Linked DNA regions of Mus musculus: all the other regions are reported to be linked to region 1. Evidence: microRNA targets listed by miRTarBase, many of them from high-throughput screens and not tested one by one. Region 1 holds a microRNA gene; each other region holds the end of a gene's coding sequence.
What was found. Region 1 holds the annotated microRNA mmu-miR-5112 (UAGCUCAGCGGGAGAGCAC, at 1,986-2,004, shown strand). A microRNA usually pairs through its seed, bases 2 to 8, with sites in the 3' UTR of a target mRNA and lowers its output. Matches are read on the target gene's strand: a 7mer-m8 pairs with bases 2 to 8, a 7mer-A1 pairs with bases 2 to 7 and ends in A, and an 8mer does both.

Region 1 (4,241 bases):
TGCCTGTAATTCCAGAACTCTGAAGGTAGAGATAGACCGTTCAGGAGTTCAAGGTCTTCCTCAGCTACACGGTGAGTTTGAGACCACCAAGCAATCAAGCAAGCAAGCAAGGTAAGAATCTATTCTAAATAAGAAGGTAGTCACTGTGGCTCTTATGCTCTTGTATACTTGATATCATTATAGGTTCAGGAAATAGCAACTCAGAGCTTTCTGACTTCAAATCTAAAATTAGCCCAGATACAACCCCCCCCCCCCCAACCAAGCTCTTTAAATATATGGCAGCCATGGTTACATCCAGCCAACCGATTTCGTTTTACTTGCTGTAGCATTGACTCATCAGGGCAATTAATATCAAGAGCTCAGGGCTTGCCTTAAGGCCCATGTAGCAGCAGCTGAGTCTGTCCAGCTCTTGTGAGTGGCAGGGGTGGGAGGTTGTCTGTGCCCAAGTCCTGCTTGTGCAGAGTGTGAGGCTGTAAGTGCCTCCCACAGAAGTCTGCTGTGACAGTGTTGTAAACATTGCATCTGCTCAGAGCTGCCTCTAGCTGCCTTCAGTGGGGGGTGGGGCAGGGGGAGGAGTGTCTCAAAGCACACCTTTATAGCTCTGGGTGCGGCCGTGCTGAGTCGGCAGTGAATGAGCTCTGCGCGCACACACACACACACACACACACACACACACACACACACACGCACACGCACACGCATGCACACACGCATGCACACACTCATGCGCACCCTACCATTGCTGGCCATTGCTTATCCTCTTTGCCTTCCACCAGTTTCCCGGAAGTTAAACAACCTCCCTTGAGGCCAAAGCGAAGGCTACTTTCTAACAGTGACTGAACTTGTAACACCTGGTCATGTAATGACAAATCAAGCATGCGTCTGGAGATAAAATGATATGAACTGTACTTGGACAATCATTAGTCTGTGTTTGTTGTGTGGAACCTGTGTAAATAAAGAAGCAACCGGCTAGTCAGTCAGGGCTGCAAGGTCACCATGTCCAGTTCACTCCTCCCTTGCTGACTCCGTCTCTCCTTTCAGGAACCCTTTTAACTGACAGGCCTGGCCCCCTGGCACATGCCATTTTTTCTGTGTTGTGCAATTAACACAGAGAAGATCCCTCTGTCAGGGACAAACAGGCACAGCACATGAACAGATCGTATAAGCAACGGGGCAGATCTCTCTCTCTCTCTCTCTCTCTCTCTCTCTCTCACACACACACACACACACACACACACACACACACACACGTGTAAGCACAAACTACAGACAGATGGGGAAGACAAGGAGAAAGAGAACCCAATTTGGGCTCTCTCTTGGTTAAAGGACGCTAAGCGGAAGTTTCTGGTTTCATTCCTTAAGGAGACATCGATCGGTCATCCCTCTAACAACTATTTGTCAATTGTGTCTGTGACTGAGATGTTATAGCAGTTTAGTGGTGTGGTGGTGATGTGTTTGAGGTGGTGCTGGGAATGTGATGATGGTGATGGTGGTGGTGGTGATGGTGGTGGTGATGATGATGATGGTGGTGGTGGTAGTGGTAGTGGTGGTGATGGTGGTGATGATGATGATGGTGGTGGTGGTAGTGGTGGTGGTGATGATGATGATGATGGTGTTGTTGGTGGTGGTGATGGTGGTGGTAATGGTGATGATGGTGTGTGCTTAGTGAAGACAGACACCAGGCTAGGTAGGCAGCATGTCTCTGCTCTAGCTGACAGAGGAAGCCATTTTCTTCTAGTCACCCATGTCCACAGGACCGTACTGGAGAACTCATTTCCCGAGTCAGTGGGGTTCGGAAGCAGGAACGATGCTTCTCTGACACAAGTCTCACAGCTCGGCCAGGAGTGCTGCTGCCCTCAGTACTCAGGATCCATCACTACTGTGGGAGGAAAAGCAGACCCTCAACTGAACTGCCAGGCCATCAACACAGTTCCATGTGAATGCTGGAGTCTTACAAAGAGGGTTGAAGGCTGAGGGCTGGGGTGTAGCTCAGCGGGAGAGCACCTGCTTCATCCCCAGCTACATTTCCAGTGCCACCCAAAACAAAACAAGACGAAAGTCAGCCCAGGAAAATCCAGATTCAATCTACAGAAACCAATGCAGAGCTGTGGCCTCACTCAGGGCAACATCGTCTGCCTACACAAGCTGGTGTGACAGACAGACGGACGGGGATCACAGTCACGGTGACTATGCACACCAGGGGGAACGATTTTTGTAAAGAAGTTAAATTCATGTCTCTTGACTGCCTTTTTCATAAAAATGCTTTAAATTCATGAGTTTCATGATGGCATACTGTATATTCTGCTCAGATTCACTCTTTCCTGTTCTTCTGCATTCTGTGGGCTCCCATCCTTCTCCCAGTAGAGATAGTCTCTGGTCTACTTTCATGTCTCTCTCTCTCTCTCTCACACACACACACACACACACACACACACACACTCCTACGTTGTGCAAAGGAGAGAGAGCACATGTCATATTTTGCCTTTCTCATGTCTGGCTCACTTCACTTAATATGATGATCTCCAGTTCTGTTTTATGCAAATGACAAAATCTCAGTCTTTTCTTTCTTTTCTTTTCTCTCTTTGTTTCTTTGTTCTTTTCTCTCTCTTTCTTTCTCCTTCCTTCCTTCCTTCCTTCCTTTCTCCCCCTCTCTCTCCCTCCCTCCCTCCCTCCCTTCCTTCTTTCCTTCCTTCCTCTCTCTCAATCTCTCAATCTCTCTCTCTCTCTCTCTCTCTCTCTGCCTGCCTGCCTCCCTCCCTCCCTCCCTCCCTTCCTTCCTTCCTTCCTTCCTTCCTTCCTTCCTTCCTTCCTTCCTTTCAATTTAGGGGCTTACTATAAAACACTGGCTGGCCTGAAACTTCCTATGTGGACCAGGCTGTCCCAGAACTCACAGAGATCCACCTGCCTCTACTTTCTGAGTGTTAGGGGTGTGTGTGTGTGTGTGTGTGTGTGTGTACTCTTCCTTTCTTCCTTGTTTCTGGCTAAATATGACTCTAGTGTGTATACCACATTTGTTTCATCTACTCATCTGCTGATGGGCATCTAGGCAATAGCTCAGCTATTGGAAACAGTAATATTGCATGGTTGTAATAAGCAGGGCCGAGCTGGTATCTCTGTGGTATACTGGCTCTCGTTTTACCCCCACTGGCAAACAAAAAATAAACAAAAACAAAAAAAAGATAATTGTATGCCTCACCTCTGAATTTTGTGGGCATATTTGTCTCTGTGGGAGCTAACTGCTCTTTGGGAAGCTGAGGGACCCTCATCTGGATTGACAGCTGACCTATTGAGCAGCTGAATCCGAAGGACAGCACCAAGCCTCATCATACCATTAACCCAGAAAGCAAAGCTGCACACGTGGGGCTGTGGGCAGAGAGACTCACAGTGGGGTGAAACAGCAGGGTCTAATGAAAGGTCAGAAGGTCGCCGTTTAGTACCCAAGGGCAGTCTTCATCCCTGCACTCACACAGTAATTTACAGAGCACTCCCTAGGGAGGAGGGCGAAGGGTGCTTACACGTGCTTGTGTCTACCGACTTGTTAATTATTTAGTATTTATCGAAAGCAATTCTTCCAAAAAGATATAAACAAGGAGGTAGATAAATGTGCCTTTCCTAAGTGCTATCTATCCAAACTAGATTTTTTTTCTTTTTGTTTTATTTTATTGTTGGTTTCGTTTTGTTTTTATTTCCTGATCCTCGGATGGCAGAGTGCTGCGTAGGCTCACGGAGAGGGAATAAATTCTGGAAAGTGAAGACAGGATTGTGAGTCTTTTTAATTTGTAACTTTATACTTTTTACTGGTTCTCCCGTTTCCCAATACAGCAACAGGATCTTATTTTTATAATCAGAAAAAAAAAATCTCAGCTGGGTGTTGGCATCTACCTATAAACCTCAGAATTTAGGATGTGGTGGGGGGCAGGAGAATCAAGAGTTCAAGGATATCTTTCACTACGTAGTAATTCAAGGCCAGCTTGGGCTACATGAGAACTTGCATTTTTAAAAAAGAAGAATTGCCGAGCTGAGGATACAGCCCTGCTGGTACAAGTGCTTGCAGCACTGCAGCAGGCGATAAAGCACAAAGCACTGCGCTCCAGTGCTGGGCCTGGCAGTGCTCACCCGAGATCCCAGCATCCAGGAGGCAAGAGTATCACAAGGTCAGTATCGTCCTTGGCTACACGGTGAGTACAAGGCTAGTCTGGGCTACACTGAGACCGTGCTGCAAAGAAGAGATGAAGGGAGGG
Region 2 (4,241 bases), not on the chromosome of region 1:
AAAGAAGCCGTCCCCAGCCTGCAGGAATCAGGTGGAAGCTGAGGTCATTGTCCACTCCGACTTCGGTGCATCCAAAGGATGTCCTGACCTCCACCTCCAAGACCTGGAGCCAGAGGAACCACTGACTGCAGAGACTCTGCCTTCCACGTCTGGAGCTGTGGATCTGTCTCAAGGAGCAGACTGGCTGGGCAGGGAGCTGGGAGGGTGCCAACCAACAACCAGTGGGCCAGAGAGGCTCACCTGCTTGCCAGAAGCAGCCAGTGCCTCCTGCTCCTGCTCAGACCTCCAGCCCAGCACTGCTATAGAGGAGGCCCCTGGGAAAAGCTGCCAGCCCAAAGCCCTGTGTCCTCTAACAGTCAGCCCAAGCCTTCCCAGGGCCCCTGTCTCCTCTGCTCAGGTCCCCTGAGCAGAAGGCAGATATGGCTCAGGAACATGCCATGCATGGCTACACATGTGTGTACTAGAGATATCCATAAGTCCTTGGAGCCTCTTAGGGTCCTTTGGCTGGGGTTGGGGAGAACTTTACTCTCCCTCATATTCTGCATCACATACAGGAGGGACTTGAGACACAGCTCTGTGTAATGGACACGTGTGAAGTCGTGTGTGTGTGTGTGTGTGTGTGTGCTGGTTGAGCTAGGAAACCTCTCCCTATGTAGCACTCACTGTGGCCTAGTTGACCCTCCGTGGCAGGATGGTGTAACAGTGATCAGTGCCAGCTCTTTGAGCTTTTAGCCTTGTCACCTAGCCTTTTATTACACTCTGAGAGTGTCTCCAGTGCTGTGTCTACAAAGACAGCGCCAGCCCCTCTTCTGTCAGCTGTGCTGAGCAGAGTGCCAGTCAACTCCACGGGCCTATGACACCGCAGCCTACCACAGCATGGCTGTCATCCCCCTGGCCTCCTAAGGTCCAGATGTCTGGGTGAACCCAGCTCAGCTCCCCTCTCCTTTGAGCATCTCTGTACCTAATTTTGTAATCTGGGAAGTGCCTGGTTTGGGAAATCTTCTTTCGCACCCTGTCCCTCTCTGCCCCTTCCTTCATTTGTTCTGGTGATCTGTCTCATGTCATCTTGCTCGATTATCCTGGGGCCCTTCTCTTTCCCATGATGCCCCTGATTTCCTCACTGCTGTTTTCATTTCTGTCTGCCATGCTTGTCTTTATGTCGTGTGTTTCTCGTCCCTGAGTTCAACCTATGCACCCTTTCCTAACAACATGACTACCTCATGTCTGCTTCAGACCATAGTGTGACCCCTGGGTCCCCACAGCTCCCCTGCCAACCGCCTTCCTGGGCAGATGACCCACTCCAAGTAGATCTGGAAAAGACCTTGTGGCTTGTCTGGCTGCCCTCCCCTTGGTGTTGAGATGAGAAGGTTTTCTATGGAAGAGATGAGTCCAGGCTGCACAGGGGAACCCCCAAGAAGGGGTAGGGAGTGAAACCAAGAGGCTGAAAAAAAATGGCTGCCACCCATCTGCACAGAGAGATGGGTGTGTGCTTTTGACGTGCAGTCCTGGCTGAAACTGAAGGGGTGAGGAGAGGGGAGCTACTGGGGCTGCCATGGCTCAGTTCCCTGACCCTGGAGCCCTGAACCTGGCTTCAGAGTAGCAAAGAGTTTCCTCCAAGATGCTGTAAGGGAAGTCTTTGCATAGGAAAAGGGCGGCTGGCTCATTTTATTTTATCTTTCTTTACACTGAATCCCAAAATCATCTTACCACAAAGGGCCAAGCCTGACTGGTATTTCCTGAGTCACAAGAGCCATGCCATCTCTCTGGTTTCTCACCTCAGTCATGTCCCAGAATTGTCAGATCCAGTGGCATCTGTGCTCTTGCTGCACATCTTTCTATTTCAACTGGCTGGCACATCAAGTGTTAACTCTGGCTTCTGGGCCAAGTTAGAAATAACCAGTCTATTTTCCCTTTATTTTATTTTATTTTATTTTATTTTATGTCTTTCAGTGGAGTTGTAGCTTCTGAAAGCGTCTGTGTTTATTAGCCTTGTGTGTCACTCATGTTTGACCCCACCCACATTTCCTTCTCCTCCCCTCTTCAGCCAGCCTATGATAACACTAAAGATTATTAATGCTGGCTTCGTATCTCATTAAAGACAGGATTGTCACTTGAACTACTTCTATAGCATTCAAAGTGGCCACGGCCAACACCACCGTATGTTTCTTCATTGCTCTGAAGGTCAAGAGCCTCATTTTGTTTTCCTGGTTAGATTTTTTTCCTCCTTGCCTTGAATGAAATAACCGTTTTAACAGTAGGCTCTTAGCATCACACCACATAGTCATTCCTCATGTTCTTGTTTAACAAGCACTGAGGTTCTGGTTTAAATTAAATAGCTGCAAATGAGACAATTTATAACCCATTAGGCTGGGTGGAAAATTGTTTCTCAAAAGCAAATAAGTAATAAATCTGGTATCTGCCTATAACTCACAGTTGATAAGAAAGTAGCCAGAACTCACTAGCATTATATATGATTTGGGTTCTGAGTAACTGGGGAGTGTTAGCTTTGTGACTTTGTAGCAGCAGGTCTTATTAGGAAAGTCTGTTGGCCTTTTACAGGGCATTAGTCCCTTTGTCGTTTGCCATGGATGCCTTAAGTTCTTTGGAGTCTCATTTAAGAATTTCTTTTCTCGAAGCATGACAAGTGTATGCAATACTTACATGCTCACTCGTTTACCTGTGCTTAGTTTGTGCTGGGTTATTTAATTGCACTTTCCAGCATCATGCTTCCTCCTTACAAATATGATATTCTTTATTGTTACACTAAGGTGTTGATCATGTATCTGTCCCTGTAAAGAATTAATAAACTATTTTCCAGACATGTTGCTCTCTCTCTTTTTTAAAGATTTATTTATTTACTATGTGCAAGTACACTGTAGCTGTCTTCAGACACACCAGAAGAGGGCATCCAATCTCATTACGGATATAAGCCACCATGTGATTGCTGGGATTTGAACTCAGGACCTTCCAAAGAGCAGTCAGTGCTGCTGGGATCAAAGGCGTGCACCACCACCGCCCAACCATGTTGCTCTTTTAACTTTAAAGAGTTTTGCATGTTGGTTTACACAGAGGTCAGAGCACTTCAGATCCCCTGGGACTGGATTTTAGTGAGCCATCCAGTAGTGGCACTGAGAGCCAAATCAGGGTCCTCTGCAAGAGCAATAAGCCATCCCTCAGCTTCAAGATATGTTCTTTCTGGAACCAACTGACTAGAGTTTTCTCAAGTCTTCCTGGCCCAGGATAGGAAACAGTAAATTTTGAGAGTAGAAAGAAGATGGGTCCAAGAAAAAAAAAACTAAAGCTTCAGCCAGGTATGGTGGCATACGTCTTTAATCCCAGCACTCGGGAGGCAGAGGCAGGTGGATTTCTGAGTTCGAGACCAGCCTGGTCTACAGAGTGAGTTCCAGGACAGCCAGGACTGCACAGAGAAACCCTGTCTCGAAAAACCCAAAAAAGGGACTGCAAATGTCATTGTGCAGTTGAATACTTACCTAGCATGTGTTTGCCTGCACATACACAGGCACACCACATGCATGCCTCTTAAGTTGGAGGAGTGTATTAGATCCCTGCCAACCCTTTGAAACTGCAACGTCCACCGATGTGTTGAGTTGCATCATAGCTGACCTGGGATGTACCTGCTATCAGTGACCCGTCAGGTTCACCCTGCATGCTCTTCTTCACAAACACCCTCAGGTGTATACACAGTCTCAGAACTCTCCATGCTCAGACCCGTACTCCACACATCTCAGGATCACAGCTGACAGCTGCCCTCTGCTGAGATCTTTAAGGAGCCCAGAAAGTGCCTTTTCATTGGAAGGAATCATAGGCCAGCAGAGGCTGTCATGCCCAAGACCACCCCCAAAGTGGCTGGTGGGCCAGGCTCAGAGTTAATTGACAGATCATACAGAGAGATACTGCACATTTTGCATGCAGCAGAATAGCCATTATTTGCATATCACTCTCAGACCACGGGTTGTGATAAAGAAGAATTAAACACTTGTCAAGATGAATTTAAAATGACAGCAATTCAGGACACCAATTTGACCTCTCTGGAGTCCAGAACATGCCAATAAGGGGTGGTTGATAATTCAAGGCCTGCAGGAGGGCATTCCAGGACTTTAGGCCGCAAGGAGGCCCCTTCTTCAGTACTACCTTCCCTGTTGTCTGTAGAGGCCTCACTCTGGCCCTTCCTCAATGAGTCCTTTTGTGGCAATGGCAGACTGGGGTCTCTGCTCTGCTCA
Region 3 (4,241 bases), not on the chromosome of region 1:
TATATAGCAAGACCTTGTCTCAACGGAAAGAAAGAAAGAAAGAACGGAAGGAAGGAAGGAAGGAAGGAAGGAAGGAAGGAAGGAAGGAAGGAAGGAAGGAAAGGAAAGAAAAAAGAAAAGGAAAGAAAAGGAAGGAAGGGAGAGAGGGGGGAAAGAAAAAGAGAGAAAGACTTGGGTTGGTGAGGTGGCTCAAGTGGCCAGCACTTCCCTTGGAAGCCTGTGTTCAGTCCTGGAAGCCATGTGTGGGTGGAAGGAGAGACTTGGCCTCACAGTTACCCTCTGCCTTACACATGTGCTTGGTGGCACGTGTACCCTACCATAACACATATACACAATAATAACAAGTTACATAAACAGAAAAGAAAAAGATTGTTTTGTTTTTTGAGACAAGGTCTCTCTGTGTAACCCTGGCTGTCATGGAACTTACTCTGTAGTCCAGGCTGGCCTTGAACTCACAGAGATCTGCCTGCCTCTGAGTGCTGGGGCTAAAGGCGCGCGACACCCACCTCACCTGGCCACAGTTTTTGAGCTTTACGTGATTTACAACATCATCTTGTCTCGAGGGACAAAGGAGTTTGTGTCTCCTCCATCTTAGCCCCAAGACCCAGACTTTAAGACGACGATGATATTTGCGCTGGAGTAGGAGATCCACAGCTAAAATATACAATTAGCATTTTCTCCATCTATTTCTAATTTTTTCCCCTTTCTCCAAGGTGTCCTTTGCTGCTCACATTGCAGGTGGATTTGCTGGGATGTCCATAGGTTACACTGTGTTCAGCTGCTTTGACAAGACCCTGCTCAAAGACCCCAGGTTCTGGATCGCAATTGCTGCATATGTAGCTTGTCTCTTATTTGCTGTGTTTTTTAACATCTTTCTGTCCCCAGCAAACTGACTTGCCTCTATGATAAACCAGTTAATATAAAAGTGTCACATGGGACCAGGTGTGGTGGCACACGCCTTTAATCCCAGCACTCGGGAGGCAGAGGCAGGCGGATTTCTGAGCTTGAGGCCAGCCTGGTCTACAAAGTGAGTTCCAGGTCAGCCAGGGCTACACAGAAAAACCCTGTCTCAAAACCCCCCCCCAAAAAAAAAACCAAAAAAAAAAAAAGTGTCACCGGGGGAGGGGAATTGTAGACTCTGTAAAGAAACACAGATATTCCAGCAAATGCTAAGAACATTATAAAGAAGGCAGGACAGCGACTGAGCTTACAATAGGAGGCAAGAAGATAAGAAGCAAAGACCAGGTGTTTCATGCACAGAGCATGTGTGTATTACCCTGTGAAGGAGACTTGATATCCTCGGGGGATGTAACTTGGAGGTTGTTTATAGGCTCCATGAGAACTGTACTATCCTGATAATAAACATTTTTTTTTCACATCTGTGCTGGACTCTTGCTTCCTGTTGCTTTGAGGCAAAGCCTTGTGTATGTATCATAGAATGGCTAAGAACTTTGCTGAATCCAAGCAAGTCCTTTGATCTCTGCTTACATCTCTGCAGCTGGAATTACAGGCTTGTGTGATACCAACCTGGGGTCTCCATCCTTTAAGGCCGGCTCTACTGAGCTATGCTTCCCATGTAAAACTCTTGACAATCACTTTTCAGTAGACAGAGCACAACTGTTGTTGTTTAAATATTTATGTGTTTGGTTTTTGAGACAGGGATTCTCTGTGTAACAACTCTGGCTGGTCTGGAACTTGCTTTGTAGACCAAGCTGGCCCTGAAATCACAGAGGTCCTCCTGCTTCTGCCTCGGGAGTGCCGGGATTAAAGGCATGGGCCACCATGACTGGCAAGACTTACTTTACTTCTATGTGTATGAATGTTTTGCCTGTGTGCACGTGTGTGTACCATATGCATGTACTGGATCCCCTGTAACTGGAGTTACAAATGACTGTGAGCTACCATAACGGGTGTTAGGAATCAAACCTGGGTCCTCTTCAGTAGCAACAAGAACTTCCAAACACTGAGCCATTTGTCGAGCCCCAAGCAAAACTGTTGTGTTTTGTATATATAGCTGCTAATTTTTCAACTCAGAAAAGTAGATAATTAGATATTATTCTGTATCTTAGAGATGAGGATATGGGAATGCCTAAAACACCAAAGTACAATTGCATACTTGTGGGTTTACAGCCACAGATTCAACTGACCTAGACTACAAATATTTTAAAATAATACATCTGTACTGAATACTTATAGATGTGCACGTGCGTGCATGTATGCGCACGTGTGTGTGTGTGTGTGTGTTTGTATGTGTGTATGTGTAGGCATGTGCACCAGAGCATACAAGTAAAGTAAGTGGAGGCCAGAGGGCAACCTTTAGAAGGGAATCAGTTGTCTTTTTTTTAAATTATTATTGGATATTTTCTTTATTTACATTTCAAATGTTATCCCCCCTCCCAGAAACCCCCTATCCCATCCTCCCTCCCCCTGCTTCTATAAGGGTGTTCCTCCACCCACCCACCCACTCCCACCTCCCTACCCTCAATTCCCCTACACTGGAGCATCTATCAAGCCTTCATAGGACCAAAGACCTCTCCTATTCCATCTTGGGACCAGCTTCCATCTTAAAGAAAAAAAGCCTGAGAACTTGATCCGCAGCAGAACTCAGCCTGCACCCAGTTACCAGGAAGGACCCCATGGCTTGTCCTTAGCTACTTCCTAGCAACAGTCAATAAAAGATTAGTCTGATTGTTTCAGATGAACTTTCAGACTGTGATTGTATACGGCCTTGCTTCGGCTTATAGTTATCCTATTAGACGCTTGCCAGACTGGACACCCCCTTCCTCACCCCATCACTTACTTGCCCCCATTTTCCTATAAAAACTTGTCCTGCTGAGGAATCGAAGCTGCTCCACCTTCCCTTCCCATCCTGCTGTGTCAGGGTTGGGTTGGAAGAGAGCCCAAGCCCGAGCTTGTAATGAAGAGAGCCTAATGCTTCTACATTGGAAACAGCTTCTTGGTGGTCTTTTGTGGTTTACAAACTCTTCCTGGCACAACACTTCCACCATGTGAGCCCCAGGGATCAAACGTACATTACCACGCTTACCAGGGAGCACCATTACCCACTGGGACGTTTTGCCAGCTCATCTACCTTTATTTTTTATTTTATTTTTATAGAGGATATAATTCATTTTTGCTTACAGTTGCACAGGGGTAAAAGTCCATTATGGTGGCTTCTCAATGGTGCTTTGTGTTGTAAAAAGTATGGTTTTGTTTTACTTTCCAAAGACTCTTGGTTATGCTCATCCTTTTCAACCCCAACATTGCTTCCTGTATCTTCATTTAGTTCATTGGATATAATATATATTCTTTTATCTTTAATCTTTTACAGTCTAGTCGTTGTTCCCCCTCTCAGTCTGCCCACTGACAGTTCCTCCTCCCATTCCTCCTCTGCCCCCCCCATGTGCCCCTCAGTTCCGGTCTCAAAGAGGATGTCCCCACCCCTCACCCCCATCCCACCATTCCCTGGGGGTTAGGTGCATCTTCTTTCACTGAGGTCAGACTAGGCAGTCCTCTGCTGTATATGTGTCGGGAGGGTCTCATATGAGATGGAGTATGCTGCCTGGTTCATGGCTCAGTGAGAGATCTCGGGGGTCCAGGTTAGTTGAGACTGCTGGTCTTCCTTTGGGGTCGCCCTTCTCCTCAGCTTCTTCCATCCTTTCCCTAATTCAACCACAGGGGTCCCCAGCTTCTGTCCATTACTTTATTATTATTTTTTTGAAACACTGTCTCTTCCCCAACCCCTCTCTTCTGACACACACAGAAGAGGGCATCAGATCCCATTACAGATGGTTGTGAGCCACCATATGGTTGCTGGGAATTCAACTACAGGACCTTTGGAAGAGCAGCCAGTGCTTTTTATCTGTTGAGCCATCTCTCCATCCCCGAGACATTTTTTGTGGACTCCAGAACTTACCTTTTCAGCTAGTTTAGCTGGCCAGCCAGCCTCTAGGATGTCTGTCTGTCTGTCTCCCCCCACCCCTCAGCACTGGGATTATAAAGTGAGCTGCTCTGCATTTCACTGGGTGCTTGGAACGTAAACTTAGATATATGTATCCAGTAAACACTGTGTACTGACCCAGTTCCCCAACTTTCACTGGGTGCTTGGAACGTAAACTTAGATATATGTATCCAGTAAACACTGTGTACTGACCCAGTTCCCCAACTTTTAGACTATGTGTGTGTGTTGTGCACACATTTGGAAACCCTAAAGGGTTGAACCACACTCCTCTTAAAAGTTT

Region 2: the mRNA of Igdcc4 is a reported target of mmu-miR-5112. Seed matches in the 3' UTR shown: 7mer-A1 at 630-636.
Region 3: the mRNA of Rhbdl2 is a reported target of mmu-miR-5112. Seed matches in the 3' UTR shown: 7mer-m8 at 999-1,005.

What each region holds. Positions count from the first base shown.
Region 1 is chr18:82,718,306-82,722,546 of GRCm38, forward strand. It overlaps Mir5112 (microRNA 5112), which reads left to right and starts at 1,976; the gene lies at 1,976-2,035.
Region 2 is chr9:65,135,123-65,139,363 of GRCm38, forward strand. Igdcc4 (immunoglobulin superfamily, DCC subclass, member 4) reads left to right here. Exons shown (of 20, transcript NM_020043.3): 20 at 1-2,825. The coding sequence ends at 406. Among named protein-coding and RNA genes, the nearest start is that of Igdcc3, 3.9 kb to the right of the region's middle.
Region 3 is chr4:123,828,821-123,833,061 of GRCm38, forward strand. It overlaps Rhbdl2 (rhomboid like 2), which reads left to right. Exons shown (of 8, transcript NM_183163.2): 8 at 714-1,084. The coding sequence ends at 893. Among named protein-coding and RNA genes, the nearest start is that of 1700121C08Rik, 26 kb to the right of the region's middle.